Mus musculus: one gene and its partner. The protein of the gene in region 2 interacts with the protein of the main gene of each other region in a biochemical or structural test. Links are inferred from orthologs where the notes say so. Each region holds a gene or a part of one and is shown on either strand. Other genes may lie near its edges.

Region 1 (3,312 bases), on a different chromosome or scaffold from region 2:
CCAAAGGTAAAGTTAGTTTGTAGAAGAAAGCACCCACGTGTAAACTGAGTGGCAAAGTAATGAACCAGAGAAACATTTGACAGAATAGGATATGCCCAGCTTTCTTGGTCAGCAGGAAGGTCAGTTCTGTTGTAGTTGCTAAGCAAGTGCTGATTCCAGCAGCATCACCACCTCCTAGCTGATGAACTACAACCCTGCATTCTGCCCACTGTCCAGATGTGGGGGCCGTTCATCTTGTGACTTCATCTTTCTGAAGGATCTAAGCAAGACACTGACTTTCAACCTCATGTTTTAAGTGGGTGGGTCTCTTTAAAGCTCTGTAATTGCTGGGGCTAAGAAGTCATCTATACCCTTTTTAAAGTCTTTTCTGCACACTCTCTACTGGTCACATTGGAATTGGCACCTGTGAAAGCGTCCTTGTTGGTCTCCTGCTAAGTGATGAGCCTCTCTGGCTGTGCAAGCCCCAGCGTCACCTTATGCCCTTAGCTCTGGGGCTCAGAAAGCTCCAACTTAGTCTTGTATTTGTAGCATAAGATACAGAAATTAACTTTTCTAAATTCAAAGAAAAGGAATAGAACACCTCACTAATTAAAAACCAAGTACTGCCTTTATTTGGCTCACCGCTCCGTTTATTAGAGTAACCACATGTGGAGAGGCACAAAGCACTTAAGTTTTACATGACTACAAAGTGATCACAAATCCCAAACTTCAGGTCTTTCACTTCCACTTAAAGAACAAGTTTTCAAAGCGTCTGAGTTAGTTCAATACACAGACCCAGATCTCACGGGAGCTATTATGTTTAAACGATGCACTTCTTGCTCTAGCATCTTCTTCAAGTGGGATCCAGCAAAGGAGGCTGAGATGTCTAAGGTCATGATGCAAATGCTTTGAGGGGCAGTGAATCAATCTGCACGAAGTGGCAAAGATGCAGTGCGCACAGCGCTGAGGGCTCACTGGGCCATCTGCGCTTCCATGGCTTGTGCTGTCCACTCCGGGGCCGTCTGACTAATTTTCTCCAGGAGGTTGTTTACTTGGAAACAAAGTGACTGGATCTGCTTGTCCCATGTTGGCAGGGCTTCTCGTGCTAAGGAAAGAATAAAATAATAGGGAAGATAGAAATTACTCACAAATCGAGGCTAAAAGATAAATTACAACAGTGTTAACTTTTAAAAGATGTTTATTCTGGGACTCTTGGCAAGAACTCAGCTCAGGCCAAGCATGGTATGGCAGAGTTTCCATCTCTGCACTCAAAAGACAGAAGTAGGCAGGATCTCTGTGAGTTTGTGGCTAGCCTGGTCTACACAGTGAGTTCCAAGTCATCCAAGAGGGCCACACAATGACACTGTCTCAAAGAAAGAACGCAAATCACTAACACCAAACATAAAATGGAACATAATGAAAATGTTATTACTAATGCCCTTGAAAACAAAATCAACGACTGAAGACCTATCAAGACAAGATGACCACAAAGCAGCCTCACTCCAGGGTCAGGCTCTCAGTGTTTGCTGGGGCGATACTGCCATCTACTAGGAGAACGCTGGATCTACACATGAGAATATGTCTACCTCACCAAAAAATAATTTAACATTTACAGCAGAAAAAGACAATGTAAAATCTACTTGAAACACTATCTTGAGTACTTTTTTTTTTAAGGGCAAGGTTTTCTGTATAGCCTGTCCTGTAACGCACTGTGTAGACCAGGCTGGCCTCAAACTCACAGAGATCTGCTGCTGCTGCCTCTGCCTCCCAAGAGCTGAGATTAAGGTATTAAAGGTGTGCACCACCTCTTCATTTAAGAAGACTCAAAAAAAAAAAAAAAAAAAAGGAAACCCCACATTTTATTTTATGTATAGGAGTGTTTCGCCTCAGTGTGTGTGTGTGTGTGTGTGTGTGTGTGTGTGTGTGTGTACACCATGATCTTGCCTGGTGCCTACAGAGGCCAGAAAAGGAGGTAACCTAGACCTGGAGCTGCAGATGGTACTGAGAACTGAACCTGACTCCACTGCAAGAATTTGGAGCCATCCAGTCCCCTCCTCCCTTTAATTGAACTTCTTTCTCTTCCCTCTGCCCTGTTTTCATTTCTTTAAGACCACAGTGACTCTGGCTATACTGGAGAAAGTAGGTTAGGAAGCAAGTGTAGACAAGTGGAAAACATCACAGGCTGTGACAGCAGCATTCTGTAAGTCACAGGGAATACAAACGAAGAGAAGGGGCCAGGCCGCAGGTGGCTCTGAGGGTGAAGCCTGGCCATGTGAGAATGACCCCAATCCTCAGAGTAGAAAGAGGAATGATGACTGCAAAGTGTTCTCTGACCTCCACACATGCTCCAAGGTATGTGCTCACCCACACGCACACATACATTTGAATTTTTAAAAATAAGAAAAGTACATGGATTCCTAAGAACATTAGGAGTTGTAATTTATAGGACATGAAAGATACAGGAGTTAAACATAAGAAATTAAGGAAAAAGTTAACATGTAACTTTTAAATGGCTAACTAGAAAGTTTTGGACCTGTGTTTGTCCTAAATCCCTATTAAGCAATCTAATATAGACGCCTTAGGTGTGAACTAGAGCTACAGGTTTGAGAAAGAGAAGAGACTGGTACAAGCAAATCCAGCCACTTCCAAACATACTAACTGAATCAAGGGGTAGAAATCACCCGTGGAGACTCAATGCCTGTAGTGGGAAAGGCCTGGGATTAAGCCGTAAGTAGCTGATGTTAAATCTAAGGGCATCACAGAGTCCATAAAGATGACGTGAAGAACAGCTGCGAGTGCAGGAAAGGCGGCAGGGGCAGGACAGGGCGGCAGAGTCGACAGCATCAGGATGGCCATGGTGTGGTACCGCGTGCACAAGGAAAAGGGACCAGCAATATTGGCTTTATTAAAACCAAGATAAAGTCTAAAGCAGGCTTGCCAGTTCACCCCTGTGAGCTCTGCACTCAGGAAGCAAAGATGGGGGAAGCTCCACATCAGGGGCCAGTCTGGGCGGCTGGGTGGCAGAGACTCCACTTCAGAAGAAAAGAAAAGGCCTGAAAGATAAAAGGCATCTGGCCTACTTGGAAGACCTGTGCGTGTTTAGGACCAATGGAAAGAAGTCAGCAGAATTTTAAAAAGCTAAAACAGTGTTTCCTTCGGGCTTCTAACACAGCTCCTTTTGGCGAGTGTGTGAAGAGCGGGGCTCAGGAAGGGACCCTTGGAGCACGGGAAAGGGCAGATAGAAGATAATAAATAATAATAATACCTATACCTCACATTTAGGGCTTCATAAATCTGATCAAGACAGTTTTAAAAAATGAAATGGGAAATGGT
Region 2 (3,915 bases):
TGTACATAGATTTCTCATAGATTTATTTCTGTGTCATGTGTCAATATATATAGACCTATTCATATATATTTTTTATTTTTAATATACAATCTATATTTCCTTCCCCACCAGAACCACAGGAGGAGATATAAATCCTTCCAGGATTTCCATTGGGCTTCCTAAGATGATGAGCAACAAAGAACCATTTCTTAACATCTCAAAAATAGCTGTTCTCAGGCTCTGGGGTCACTGAAGCAGCAGTATCCCCAGGCCCAAGGAGATGAGAGAGGAAAGAAACAATTGTAGTGTGATGGGGTTCTGGGAGGAAAATGTCCAGCGACTCCCAGGGTAGCAGACTGGCTCCAGAACTCTAAGGCTGGAATGAAGGTGGAGACCCCCTTCCCCATGGCTTTTCAGATGCAGCCCACTAGGCAAGGGGAGGAGGAGGAACTGCAGATTAGGCATGCAGGGGTAGGTGTGGGTGGTTAAGAGCCAGCACCCTCCATAGGACTGCCAACCTGCTCAATGACAGGGGTAATGGGCAGACACAGTGCGGAAAAACGATGAGAGCAAGCGTGCTGGGGAAGAGCATGGAACACATAAGAGGTACCAACAGAACATGACCTGCACTGGCCTCCTCCCTACAGAGGGTGTGGCTTATGCTTGGGGGTGGAGGAGATGAAAAGTAATGAACTAGCATTATCAGCTGGCCAGGGGCACAGGAAGGCTCTGAGGACTCCTAAGGGGTAGGCAGGTAGGCAGCTGGGACCCCACATTCCCAGGGAAGAAACAAGTCCTTTCAGTTCGACTTGGACCAAATCTTGGCGCTCCCTCGGAGTCTGGCAAGGGGAAGAGAGAGAGAGGGGATGCAAGGGGTCCCCTAATTCCTAGAGGACACCCCCACTCCCGACCCCATGCAAATGACTAAAGCAGTGGAGCAGCCAGGTCCCTGAGGTAAAAGTGGGGTACCCAGAGACAAGTGGCTCCCGCATGGGCTCACCCCTTGCCCTTGGAGGCTTTCTTGCTGGGCTGGCGCTGGTTGGTGCCAGAAGCTGGTTCTCTCAGCTCTGTCAGGTGTTGCTCAGGATCCTGGGAGGTGGCTGCAGCAGCAGCTGCTGTCGTAACTTTAATGGTTTTCTTAAGGTTGGCAACCTATCAGGATGAAAGGAATGAGGGATAGCCAAAGGAGGTTCTGGAACCGGACGGGCCCTGATGATTTTATCAGTCGGCCTCAGCCCCATCGCAGCCCGAGTACCCAGGCTGGGGAGCTGCAGTCCATCCTGTCTGCTCACCTCACTTTCGATCTGCTGCTTCAGGCCCAGCTGCTGCTCCTTGTGCTGGTTGGCACGGCTGACCTGCTCTTCGATGCCCGACAACACAACCTCACAGCCCACGCACCTGTGGGAAGCAGGCAGATGAGAAGTCAGCAGGAGGCGGCAGTCATCACAGCCTCATAAAAACAAAGCAAACAAAAGCAAAAGTCTCAAAAGCTGGCCTCTAGGCTGGACTGAAAACCCTCGCCTGAGCTGGCAGCTCTCGCCAGGGCACCTGGGAACTAGCTACAACAGAATTCTTTTTTGTTTTGTTTTTGAGACAGGGTTTCTCTGTGTAGTCCTGGCTGGCCTGGAACTCACTCTGTAGACCAGGCTGGCCTCGAACTCAGAAATCCGCCTGCCTCTGGCTCCCAAGTGCTGGGACTAAAGGCGTGAACCACCACGCCCGGCTACAACAGGATTCTTTCTCCTCAGCAAACCCCAGGGCAGGAGAAGAAAGGGATAAGCAAGTGTCCTGGACAAGGTGGGTGGGGGTGGAGTGCTCGGAGAAATGGCTCAGGGGTGGAAGCTGCACTCACACTCACCTATAACCCCTCTACCTCTCTATCACACACACATAACTAAAAAGAAATCAAAATAACAAGATGAGAGCAGGAACCAGAAAACAAAACGGGAGAGTCAGGCATGGTGGGTACAGCAGCACACACCTGTAAGCTTAGAACCAGGAAGCAGAGGCAAGATTTCCAATTCAAGGCCAGCTTGGGGTACACAGTGAGATCACAATGAAGTTACACAGGGATACAAAGAAGAGAAGAGACCCATCGCGGCCCCTGGTGTTATTATGTGCAGTTGCCCTAAACTCAGCGTATGACAGTGACAAGCCTCCAGCTAGTCAAGAGCACAGCTCCATTCCTTTGCCCAGTTCCTGCCCAACAACCCTGACTCTGCGCCCAGGGCCCCCTTAGAGCCTCTGTCCCCTCAGAAACCCTGAGGAGAAAGCACTCTCCTAGGCTCCCCCTCCCCAGCCAGTCCCTGCTCTCCTGCTTGTATAAGGGAGGGTCAAGGCCTGACAAGTAAGTTCTCACCACTCTTGCAGGGTCTGGGCGATGGCACTGAGGTCCTGGCGCTGGATGTCCCGCCCGATGCTGTAATCAACCTCTAGCCGCTGATTGCGCTGGTCCAGAGAGCCACGAAGGACATCAGCATACACAGCCTCGATCACAAGGTCTTCCAGCTGGCGCACGTTTCGAAGGGCAAGGGCCTCCAGCAACACTGCATATGGGATACACTGGGTCCAGAGGTTAGACCGGAATTTGTGGGGTTCAAAAGCAGAGGAGGATTTCCCAGAATCCTCTTCCAGTTTTTCCCCAATGTCCAGGCCCACATCCCTCCACTCCTATCCGTAAGCCATTTTCTGGAAAATGTTGGTTCTAAAGCAAAACCCTATTACGGCCTCAAAAACATCACCAGAAAAGAATAATCTTCCTTCCTTTTCTTTCATGGCGTTCTGACACAGGGTCTCATTCTATAGCCCAGGCTGGCTTGGAACTCATTATGTAGTCCAGGCTAGACTTGACCTCACATTAATCCTTTTGCTTCAGAGTCCCAAGCGCTGGGCCGACATGAGACACGGCACCAGACTCAAAAAGGACAATCCAAAAACATGTGGTAGATGCTCTCCTATGCCCACCTCCCACTATATAGTGAAAGAACGAGTGTGACATCTTCCTGGTGCCATTTCTTTGGCTGTAGCTAAGGAAACTGTTTTTGATCAGCTTGACATCAGAGGATAGATAGGAGGGGTCTGGAGTTTCTGTTTATCATGTTGACTTAGCCATGTTACAAACTGGAATGACCTTGGGGAAGAATCTACAACCACAAGCCTAATTCCAGCAAAAATCACCAGGACTCAATTCTAGTTAACAACTGGGAGAATGTGATATAAAAAGTCTGTGCCCACAGGGGCACACAGGTACTGTAGGTCACACACATCTTACTATAGTAAGTAGAGAAGGACCCCAGTTCTAGCTCTGAGGCTCTGTTGGCCTGGAACTCCATCTGATGAATGAGCCGGCCAGCCTTCTAGTGGCTATTTTTACCCCAATCACAAAAGACGATGACTTAGAACTTCAGTTCAAACTGACAGACTCCTAACTAAGTGACTGCAGAAATGGAGTTTCAGTTCAGACCCAGACAGGGGAGGCCAATGGCTCTCCTTAGACTCCCTGGATTCACAACAGGTCGTCTCTGGCTTTGGACTGGCAGCTGGCAAGGCTGTCACTTACCTTGACTTTGGCAGCCAGAGTGACAACTGACAGATGTCGAAGCTTATTCTTCTGTGCGTCAGTCAGTGGGGGGAGATTCCTGGCTTCAGCTAGAGACAGGGAGAGAAGCCCGGGAATCTTGTTTTTAGCAGTTTCCTACAAGTTTTCTGTACCAATTATGGTCTAACACTGCAGAGGTTCACTTATGGCATCGTAGTAGGTATTTCTTCCAAGTCTCTCCAGAACCACCCTTCTCCTGTCTCCACAGCTCTGGCCCCTATTTACCTAAGTAGTCCGCATAGGTCCCATAGGCAAACACTGTGAGCAGCCGGAAGGTGGAGGCAAAGTCGCTTTCTGCCAGCTGCAAGAACGTGAGGGAGGAAGTGACAAGAAGGCCC

Evidence for each region.
Region 1: the proteins of Cops7a (region 2) and Cops4 form a complex in vitro, tested with the Homo sapiens proteins (2 studies listed by BioGRID). The link is inferred for Mus musculus from reciprocal best matches to the Homo sapiens genes COPS7A and COPS4.

Annotation. Positions count from the first base shown.
Region 1 is NC_000071.6:100,545,076-100,548,387, reverse strand, and holds the end of Cops4 (COP9 signalosome complex subunit 4), read right to left. Parts: intron 1,085-3,312; coding exon 951-1,084; 3' UTR 586-950; downstream 1-585. UniProt on the Homo sapiens protein: Component of the COP9 signalosome complex (CSN), a complex involved in various cellular and developmental processes.
Region 2 is NC_000072.6:124,958,820-124,962,734, forward strand, and holds part of Cops7a (COP9 signalosome complex subunit 7a), read right to left. Parts: intron 3,879-3,915; coding exon 3,803-3,878; intron 3,628-3,802; coding exon 3,539-3,627; intron 2,542-3,538; coding exon 2,339-2,541; intron 1,378-2,338; coding exon 1,272-1,377; intron 1,132-1,271; coding exon 980-1,131; intron 819-979; coding exon 779-818; 3' UTR 1-778.